Linked DNA regions of Rattus norvegicus. The protein of the gene in region 1 purifies or fractionates together with the protein of each later gene. This does not show direct contact. Links are inferred from orthologs where the notes say so. Each region holds a gene or a part of one and is shown on either strand. Other genes may lie near its edges.

Region 1 (5,442 bases):
GCTGTTGGAGAGTTAGACTACAGACTGTAAGTCATCAACCAATTCTCTTACTATATAGACTACCCATAAGTTCTGGGACTCTAGAGAACCCTGACTAAGACACCTAACTAAATTCTTTCCTTTGTCTTTAATTCATTTATTCATTCATTCATTCATTCATTTTTTTCTTTTTTTTAAATTTATTTGTTTATTATATAAGTACACTGTAGCTACCTTCAGACACACCAGAAGAGGAGCATTGGGTCTCACTACAGATGGCTGTGAGCCACCATATGGGTGCTGGGAATTGAACTCAGGACCTCTGGAAGAGCGGTCAGTGCTCTTAACCACTGAGCCATCTCTCCAGTCCCATTTTTTTCTTTTTAATATTGGTGCTCAGTATATAGCCCAGGCTGGCCCTGAATTCAACAGCCTCCTCCCTCAGCCTTAAAAGTACTGCAGTTAAAGACTTGTGGCACCATGCCTGGCCCGTTTCACTAATTCTTGTACATCCCCACACTCTTGGACTATGGTAAATTAATAAGACCTTACAGCTTTGTGATGTAATGTAGCCTAGACTCTGTTTTAATTTTTAATTTATTTTATTACTTTTATTTTTTAAAGTGTGTGGCTGTTTTGTCCATACGTATGGCTGTATACCAAGTGTGTGTCTGGTGCCTGGAGAGTGCAGAGACAGTGTTGGACGCCCCAGAATTAGAGTTAACAGTTGTCAGCTGCCCTAGGGGCGCCAAGAAGTGAACCTGGCTTCTCTGGAAGAGCTGCTAGCATTCTTAACTGCTGGAGCCATCTCTCTAGACTCTATTAATTGATTGATTGATTGATTGATTGATCGATCGATACAGAGTTTCACCGTATAGCTCTATCTGTCCTTCAGCTCACTCTGTAGATCAGGCTGGCTTTGAACCCATAAAGATTAACCTGCCTCTGCCTCCTGAGTTCTGGAACAAAAGGTGTGACCACTATTCCTGGTTCCTAATTTTTATTTTCATTTTATGTGTATGGCTGTTATGTTTGCGTGTATGCCTGCACCTCAGTGAGGTTTTTTCTCAGCGAGTATTTTCTATTTCCTCTAAAGGCTTTCTGTTTCTTTGTTTGTTTGTCTCCGTTTAGTCCCATTTGTTTTGGTCTCAAAGGCATTTTCCAGGGTTTGCCTGTCAAATTTCAGTGTTCTCTACCTATCTCTTGCTTCTAAGTAACTCTAGTTCCTCCTCCCTGGAAAACAGTAGAGGTTTGGGGGGCTCAGCTAGGCAAACTGGATGCCAGTTTTTGAGTGCCCTGCCTGATTCCTAGAATGTTTCAACCCTCCAAGCCTCCTACAAACAGAACTGGACCTTCCCGTTAAAAAATAAGATCATCTCTAAGCAACCTGACCAGCATTAAATAAAGATCTGGATACTGGCATTCACTGGCAAATTCCCAGTCATGCCAAACCTAGTAACTTACCCTGACACTTCTTGTCTGTATCCGCACTTTCTTTTTTATCGGGATTTGCCTAAGTATAAAACGTTCATTTATTTATAGAGCGATGGGGAGGCGTTTGGAGGTCAGAGGACAACCTGAAGGAATCGGTTCTCTCCTTCTACCACATGGGCCAGGTATGGAACCCAGGTGCCTTGGTGGCAAGTGCTTTTACACACTGAGCCATCTCGAGATGTTCTCTATGATGCTCTAGCTGATACTGAACCATCATAAGGAGGCCAAAGTATTTTCTCTCCCCTCTCCCCTCTCCCCTTTCTCCTTTCCTCTCTTCCCTCTTTTTTGAGAGACCTCGTTATCTGTGGTCAAGAGCGGCTTTGAACTCAGTGTGTAACTGGAGCTGACTTTGAACTCCTGATCCTCCTGCCTTCACCTCCCAAATTGTGGGATTACAACTGTGAGTCACTATGCCAGGGCCGAATTCTGTTTTTAATAACTCCGGAGAAGTGAAGGGAGCTCTGCCACAGAAGAGCATGCTAGCCAGCCCTCTCTGCCTGGGAAGCAGTAGGGTCGCTGGGTTTCCTGAGCGGCCGATCTGACAGCCAACCAGCAGGCGGCGCCACGGAACAGGACAGCGGCGCCACAGATACGCCTCTCTAGGCCAAGAGAACGGAACCAGAGAGTCGGCGATAGGAAGTCGAGGTGGCGCTCAACCCGGCGTCCCTGAAGGCTGGTCTGGTCGCCTAGTGTGTGTGTTCTCTAGCCGGACTCTGCAGGCCAGGCTGGCGGTGCATGGAATCCAGGACTCGAGCGGAGGCAGGATGCTTGCAGCTGGCGAGATCGGCGATGTGCCGGCAGCCCTGGTGAGGCGTCCCTGGTAACCCGGAGAAGGGACTCTGGTGACCCTGTGAGGTGGCACAGAACGCATCACCCCCCCCCCCCGGGACATTGTCCCCGCAGGGTAACTTGGAAGCGTGTGGCAGTGGTTCCCACGGTCCGAGGCAGTCAAGGGCGTCCCGGGGGAGGTAGTCACGGTGCAGTGTCCGATGTCCCAGAAGATGACAGTTTTGAGAGTTGGCGGGAAGGTGGACTCAGTGTCAGGGCAGGGTAATTTGGACCCTGGGGAGGTGGTTCAGACCTCTGGGGAGGTGGCAGTAGTGTCAGGCATGCCTCTGGGAGAGGTGCCTGGGACGTCTCCGCTTTGGAGCCCTGTATGAATTCCACTTACGTGAGTCTAACTTGTTTGCCACACCTGTTTCTCTGCAGTGCTGCCCCGAGAGCGGTGACGAAACGAAGAACACAGAGGAGAAAAGTAAGCAGGCTCCAAACCCTCAGTTCTTTTTGTCTAGTTGTCCTTCGAAGCTCGCTCTTTCAGAGTCTTTCAAAAAGAGGTTTCTTGGCCAGCTATCTTTTAAATGAAGTATCTTTTTCCTGTACGATCTTTAAACAGTAATAAATATTAGTTATCTTTGCATGTGGACTTTTATCTCTCTAAAAGAGCACTTTGACACTCTTACCTAGTGACTGGTTTGAGTTCACTGGGACCTGTCATTTTAATGAACCGCCAACTCGTTATCAGGTATTTGCTGGTCACTATTATGGGCTCCGGGGAGAGGTTTGATGATCGCTTACTTGCACTTTTGCCTTTGGTGAATATGCAGTTAAAATGTGCTGCAGGTAACACACAGCTTAGGTCCTGGGGCTTGGTCTGTGTAGGTGACAAGGAAAAGACCTGGTACCTACATTTCCTACCTAGGACAGGAAACTATGTCAGGCTGTGAGATATTTGTCATTTCACGTTGAAGAGATAAGAGTGGCAGGTTGTTAGGAATTCAGTACTCTGCAGGGGCTGGTTTTTTGTTTTTGTTTTGAAACAATGTTGAATGTAGCCCAGGTTTGCTCCAGGTTCCCTACATGACTAAGGATGACCTGGACTCCCAAGTCCACAGCCCTCTGTTTCACAGATGTTAACATGCCCAACCTTTTTAGAAGCTTTTGAAGGGTGCCCACATTTCCATGTGGCTCCTAGGAGGAAGGTTTGGCTTCTGATAAGCTCTCCCCAGCCCCTCGGAGCTTGAGAGATGGCTTGGTGCTTAAGAGTGCTTGCTGCTTTTACAGAGGGCCTGGGTTCGGTTCCCAGAGCCCACATGACAGCTCAATACTTTAGTTTCAGAGTTCTAAATGTCTGGTCCTGGCAAACCAGGCCTCTGGCTTACACATGGTACACATAAACTCATGGGAGCAAACTACATATGCACACAAATTAAATGAACAAACCCTTAAACAAATAAACCATAATTTAAAACCCCTTAGAGCTTGACATGGCCTGGGGAGTCACCGCCAGAGTTCTTGCCTCGCACTTTGGAAGCCCCAGGTTTGAATTGAGCCCTGCCACCACCACACAAACAATGAGACAGACAGACATGGACTTAGCAGTTAAGAGAATTTGAGGACCTGACTTTGATTCCCAACCCCTACAGTGTGGCTAACAGCTGCTTGGCACTAGCTCTAGGGATCCAGTGCCCTCTTCTGGCCTTTGTGTACACTGAAGAATGTGGTGCACAGACACACATGCAGACAAAACACACATACACATAACATTTCGAAAGTTTAATAAGTACCTGCCAGCCCATCCTTAAACCAAAAGTTAAAAACCAAGACAAAAAACCGAACAAGGAAACAAACCTTCTCTACCTTTGCCTACCCACATGCCTTGACTCTTCACATCAAACAATCTATCATTTTAGAATGTTAAGTGCAAACTACTTCATTAAGGACTTTGTCCTTGTCCACAGTGGCTCAGTTAATTGCTGTGTGCAATGGTGAACGCTCTTTATAAACAAATAAAACGGGAGAGACAAAAAAAATCTGCCAAGCCAGGTGTGGTGGCTCACGTCTGAAATCCCAGCCCTTTGGAGGCTGAGGCAGGAGGATTCCCATGATTTGGAGATCAGTTTAGGTCACAGAGTTAGACTGTATGTTTTTGGGTTTTAGCTCCTTATTTATTTTTTAGTTGCGTGCTGTATAGTTAAGGCTAAACTTGTCTTTTTAAAATTGAAATTATTTTCTTTAACAGGCAAATGGATAAGGAATTTTATTCAGCTATAAAGAGAAGTGGAATTGTGACATTTTCAGGAAAATAGATGGAAGCACAAATTATAATGTTGAAATAAGACAGACAGACAGATACTGCATGTTTTCCCTCATTGGTGGCATATATGGGTGTGTGTTGGTTACTGTTCTAGGGTTGTGAGGTGACACCATGCCCAAGGCAACTTAAAACAAAGCATTTAATTGGGGGCTTGCATATCAGAGGGTAAGTCCATGACTATCATGAAGGGAGCATGGACAAAGGCATGGTGTGGGACATCTGTTTCAGAGGTTTAATCCATGAGGGCAGGAAGCATGGTGGTGTGCAGCTAGACATGCTGCTAGAGAAGCAGCTGAGAGTTCTACATCTCTGAAATTGTTTTTAATGGTGTTTCGGTTACATATATGTCTGTGACAGTGTGCGGCCCTGGTGCCAGGGGAGGCCAGAGGAGGGCTTCGGCTTCAGCTTACGTGGAACTGGAATTACTGATGGTTCTAGGCCGCTGTGTGAGGGCTGGGAATCCAATCCTTGTCTTCCAAAAGCAACAAGAGCTGCTAGCTCTCCAGCCTGTCTTAAGAAAGCAAAAGTAAAATCAAGTGTGGTGCATGCCTGGAATCCCAGCACCCAAGAGGTGGAGGCAGGAGGATTAGAGATTGAAGTTAAAGTCATCCTTGACTTGTACATGGCAAGTTTGAGACAAGCTTGGGATGCACGAGATCTTTCTCAAAAGCAAATAAGCAAACATAGCTAATACAAATCTCTGTGTAAAAGGATCTCACATGCTTAAGAATATACTGTGCCCCTTTAAATAGTTACACCTGATGGGTGTGGGTTTCACTGTTTCCAGTGAAGGTCGAGCCTGTTGATACTCGCCACAACTCATTTGCTTTATTTCTGAACGATTCTTAGGAGGTCAGGACATGAGTACAGTTGGA
Region 2 (5,314 bases), on another chromosome or scaffold:
AAAGTGTAAGCACTAGAAGGGGATGTGGACAATCCTAAATCCTTGTAGAAAGGACTTTAAAACACAGACCCAAGTCCAAGAGTCATAAAGATCTGCCAAATTTAAATCCTCTTTAAGGTAAAAAAACAAAAAACAAAAAACAAAAAAAACCAAACCACCCATCAGCAAAGTCAAAAGTCTACAAATTTTGCAACTCGTGAATACTAATACAAAAAGGGAACCTGGAAACTAATACGGAATAGCTTGATGACCCAGTAGGAAAATGAGCAAAGTAAACGTGATACCTTTGAAACGTTTCTCAGTCTCATTCATTATGAGAGATGCAAAAAGAAAGAGACTACACCAAGCTGGTGGGGCTAAAGGAAACAGGCGTTTCCACAATGTTGCTGGTGCAACGTAAACTGATATAACCAGTATGACGAAACAGGGCTCTACACCACAGTCCTGGCTGGTCTGGAACTTACTATATCGACTAGGCTGGCTTGGAAGTCGTGGGGGCTCTCCCTGCCTCTACTTCTTGAGTGCTGGGATAGTCATGTGCCACTCCACCCAGATAGAAAGGATATATAGGAAAGTTGTGTAGAGCTAAAATACGGGTCTGGCAGCTGTGGTGTTCATCAGTACCTATAATTCCAGCAGTTGGGAGATTGAGGCAAGAAGATCAACAGTTCTAGGTCATCCTTGGCAGGTGGAAACCAGCTTGGGCTACATGAGACCCTATATGGCAGAAGCACTTAGAAAATGGCTGCACATAGGGAAGTGTTCCCAGAGTGCGGCTTGGCAGTACATGAACAGAAACTAGCAAGCATTGAGTTCAATACTATGGGTTATCAGCGGTGTCCTACCTCATTCCGCCCTCCAGGGGACCTTAGGAGTGATGGATGCTACTGATGATGGAATTCTTCTGGGAATAACTAGAGCCAGGCTGCTGACTACTAGGCTGGAATCCAGGCTCTCGTTAGCTGCAGTGAGCTATTGAGCACCTTTTAGGAAATGGGTGGTACAGGGTGCTTTGGACCAGAAAGGCATGTGTGGAGACTGACTTGTAGGGGCTGTGTGTGCAGTTTGAGAAAAACATTTTCAAAAGAGGGAACCCCACACCCAAGACTACAGAGCCTGGAGAATCCCAGAAGGTGGGGGAAAGGAAAGTGGCCAATGGTGTGAGGACTTACTAAGAAATAATTTTAAAAAGCACTACCCTTCTTTGAGGTTTGCACTGACATTGTTTCTACTAAAACTACATTGCACAATCAGAATTACTCCTTCGAGATAATTGGAATTCAATTCTACACAAAGGGCAGAACCATAGCCATAGAAATGTGTGAGGAAGGCAGTGTAGATTCTGAATATAAGAAAGCCCCAGGGTACGGTCATACTAATGGAGGTGCCCCAGTGACCTGTATTTAATTCTGCATCTTTACAAACTTTGTGTCTTACTCCGTAATTCATACTTTCTGTAGAAATTTCGCTTTAAATTTTAAAGGAAAAAAACCCTACAACTTTGGTGACATCCTAATTGGTCCTTTTTTCCTATTCAAAATGTCACTAGAATAGCTGGTCTCTGAATGATGGAAAGTGCCCACTGTTTAGCAAGGGTGGGCGTGGGGGTTGTTTCCTTAGTACTGGGAACAAAACTGAAGGCCTTATGGCAGGCCAGCCCATCACCTGAGTTGTAATCCAAGCCCGCCCCCGCCTCTCCACCCCAACCCTAATGGTTCTTCATAATCACAATTCACTTTTCCGTTTAGTAGGAGCAGCCCAGAGAAGTTGTGCGTGTTCTACGAGTCAAGGAAAGTTCCAGGTCTGGGCTGGCGACCTGGTTTGATCTACACCGGATCTCCCCTCCGCACCACAATCGGAGAGATTCGGAAAGGCGGGCAGGCGCCACGCGAACGCGCTTCAGCTTGGCTGCCGCCGCTCGCCGTAGCCGCGTTTCCAACATGGCGGCCCCCCAGGATGTCCACGTCCGAATCTGTAACCAGGAGATTGTCAAATTCGACCTGGAGGTGAAGGCACTTATCCAGGTACATATTAGTAGGCTCCTGTCCGGCTCTCGATTGCTGCCTTGGCATTTTCCAGGACATTCACGCCCGGTCCAGCCTCCCAGGCCCGCAGTCCCTCTCCAGGATGGCTCCTCGAGCACCACTCGGTCGGTTCCCGGAGAACACTGACCTTCAGCGCGTTTCTTTTGCGTACTGTTGATTTGGCCAAATCTGGAGTAGCCTAACACGCCGCTCTTGTCCCTTGGACTGAAGTGGTTCTGGGGGCTACCCGAAGTCTCGGAGGTAGCCCCGCCCTCCCCCTCCCCCCGCCCTGCCCCTCTCCCACGCCCACTTCCCTGAGTTAGGGACCCGGAGGGCACCCAAGGCCACCTGACGCGGGAGTTCTGGCCCAAGCTAACTTAACCTAGGACGTGGTTGTAATTTTTTGAACGAAGAATTCAAATATTGTGCTAAGTTCTGGGTCAGAAGGCAGGCAGTGCCAGTACTAGGACCTGGATGGGGAAAACCAGCCTAGGAAAAGCATTTTAGAGCTTCCCTATCCGGTTGAACAGACCGGAAAGTGAGGCGCTTATCTGGAAGCAGGTGTAAGTAGAGACTGTGGCGCGTAAGAAATCGAACACGGGCACGAAAAGGGAATGTAGAAATGACTCCAGAGTTTGGCAAAAAGAACCCAATCGGCTCAGGATACAAGCTGTGACAGCAAATAAGAATTGGGTAGGGGTACGGCTCTGCACTTGCTTAGCGCTGCGTTCCATCCCCAGTGCTGCAAATGGGTTGTGCCTGGCTGCTGGCCTAAGCTTTGTTTTGCGAGCCCCTGTAAAAAGGAGGGTGGGGAGTAGTATTCTCTGCTAAGCCAGATGTACACTGTACCACATTAATAGTCTCCGATGGTGTGAGGAAGTGTGATTTCATGAGTAAGCCTAGAGAACGAGTGAAGAAACGCTGCAAACTTTACATCTCTCCCACTTCACTCCTAAGATGTGTAAATAAAAAATATTTGGGCCACTTATAGAAAAATAAACAAGATTGGGTTTATACAAGCGAGATTACCAGAGGCTGGGGGTTAAATTTAGTTGAGTGTAGAGTTAAAGGTTATCCATGTGCAAGGCTCTGGTTTCAGTCCTCAGAATGCATCTATGAAAACATATACATACGTAAAACAAAATTGCTAGTATGGTGGCTCTAGCTAGCACTTGGGAAGCATAGGCAGGATCACCATGCATTTGAGGCCAACCCATACTACACAGAGTGATCTGTCTTCAAAAAAAAAACCCTTACATTCAAAATTTTGAAAAGTTGTGTTTTCATATTATATCATAGTATGAAATTATATAATATCATAAAACTTTGTATTTTCATAAAATTTTCTGTTAGCTAGGTCTCTTGTGACCTATGTGTTTTGGGTCCTTACAGTTACTAATGAGTACGCATAGCCCTGTACATTGTATTCTTATGGTGCTCCAGTTGTTCTGTCAAGTGTTCTAGGCAGACCGATCTTGAGAAAGGTAAGATAAAGAAATGGAGGCACAGAGAACTTAAGTGCTCCAAGATTTCACTGATAAATTGCTCTAACCTGGATTTGAATATACACAGCCTAAGTCTAGAGCCTGCTCTAAAACTTGGCTCTCATAAATCTGACTTTCTTTCCAGAAGCAAATTCTCAGTCCGTCTTTAAACATTTTGACATGCAACAGATGGTTTGTAAAATCAGACTAAATTAATTTTGTTCCATGTTACCAGGGATTTAGAGTTGGAAGGATCTGAAGTTTCAGGGTTTTTTTTAGGTGTTCATTTTTGTGGAGCATGGAAGCTGAAGAAGCCTTTCCTAGTGAATACACTTTGTTAAACTTCTAAGTCAAGGTTGAGCTTTACCTGTTTATTTATTACACACATACAATGCGTTCACGAGTGTGAGTGTGTGTGTATGTGTGTGTGTGTGTGTGTGTGTGTGTGTGTGTGTGTGTGTGTGTTTATGTGCATGTTTTGCTGCTGATGAAAGCCAGGGCCCAGAGCATGCTCTGTAAGTGCTGTATCATGAACTATACATTCAGCCTGCTTTTTCCTATTAGGCTTGGTATTAATCTTTTTTTTTAATTTTTTTATTTATATGAATACACTGTAGCTGTCTTCAGACACACTAGAAGGGGGCATCGGATCCCACTACAGATGGTTGTGAGCCACCATGTGGTTGCTGGTGATTGAACTCAGGACCTCTGGTGTTAATCTTAAGAGGGTGAGGAAACTGAAAATGATGGAGAACAGTGTGGGATGATGTCACAGGTGAGGCAGGTACAAGATAGAAGGAGGCCAGGGCTGGGGATTTAGCTCAGTGGTAGAGCGCTTGCCTAGCAAGCACAAGGCCCTGGGTTCGGTCCCCAGCTCCGAAAAATAGAAAAGAAAAAAAAAATAGAAGGAGGCCTGTCATTGGACAAGAAGGAAGGATGGGCGGGAGAAAAATTTGAAGGAAGAGGAGGGGACTGGAAGGACAGGGAGAGAAGCTGTGGCAGGACAATATGGCAGGTGACATTAAGATCCCACGCTGTACCTTTACAGGTTGTTACGAATGTTTTTAAGGGATAGATGTGTATTGGGCTTTGTGTGTTTAGGTGGGCAATTATATCTTATCAATTGGGTCAAAGGTTATTGTGTTGTGTGTTCTTTCATATAGCGATTTAAGTGTAAGAAAGTGTGTGGCGGCTGGTCTGGGCCACTACAGAGTTGGGATGTGTTTCTGGCATGGAAACCTGCCTTGGGAACTAGATAGGTAGAGAGATTGCTGCCAGGCTCAGAGAGAGGCCTTTGGCAATGGGATATAGGATGAAGCAGAGCGGGTGAGACACTTTGCTGACTGAGAATTAAGAAGCAGATATCTTGGGGCACTGCAGTGGTGGACCTAGGGGGGATAAAAGACAACCTTACTTTTTATTTTTTTATATTTTTACAACAACAGAACAGCACTGAGCAGGATGAGGTAGCAAGAGAGCTTGGCCAACCTTAGCTGCGGACTGACTCAGCTCTCTCACTGTGCCAATGAGGCCATTTCATTTCATCGACGGGAGAAAGGCCCCTCATCTCTTCATTGTCTTCTAGGATATTCGAGATTGTTCCGGACCCTTAAGTGAGCTTACCGAACTGAACACTAAGGTGAAAGAAAAGTTTCAACAGTTAAAACACAGGATCCAGGTAAGCGAGGCTGCAGAACCACTCAGTGTTAGCTGAGGGTGGGTGGCAGGGCCGGGAGCTCCGGCCTAGAAGAACTTTCCCTTGAGAGTTGACCAGGTCCTTCACATGCCACCTGGAGAGAGGAGGAA

The links. Proteins that work in one complex are often made in the same cells at the same time.
Region 2: the proteins of Rint1 (region 1) and Bnip1 purify together in Homo sapiens (co-immunoprecipitation; 3 studies listed by BioGRID and IntAct, counting the BioPlex papers as one, with this or other methods). This does not show direct contact. The link is inferred for Rattus norvegicus from reciprocal best matches to the Homo sapiens genes RINT1 and BNIP1.

Annotation. Positions count from the first base shown.
Region 1 is NC_086022.1:12,244,791-12,250,232, reverse strand, and holds the start of Rint1 (RAD50-interacting protein 1), read left to right. Parts: upstream 1-2,115; 5' UTR 2,116-2,237; coding exon 2,238-2,279; intron 2,280-2,682; coding exon 2,683-2,728; intron 2,729-5,442. UniProt on the Homo sapiens protein: Involved in regulation of membrane traffic between the Golgi and the endoplasmic reticulum (ER); the function is proposed to depend on its association in the NRZ complex which is believed to play a role in SNARE assembly at the ER.
Region 2 is NC_086028.1:16,900,177-16,905,490, reverse strand, and holds the start of Bnip1 (vesicle transport protein SEC20), read left to right. Parts: upstream 1-1,929; 5' UTR 1,930-1,940; coding exon 1,941-2,024; intron 2,025-5,093; coding exon 5,094-5,186; intron 5,187-5,314. UniProt on the Homo sapiens protein: As part of a SNARE complex may be involved in endoplasmic reticulum membranes fusion and be required for the maintenance of endoplasmic reticulum organization. Also plays a role in apoptosis.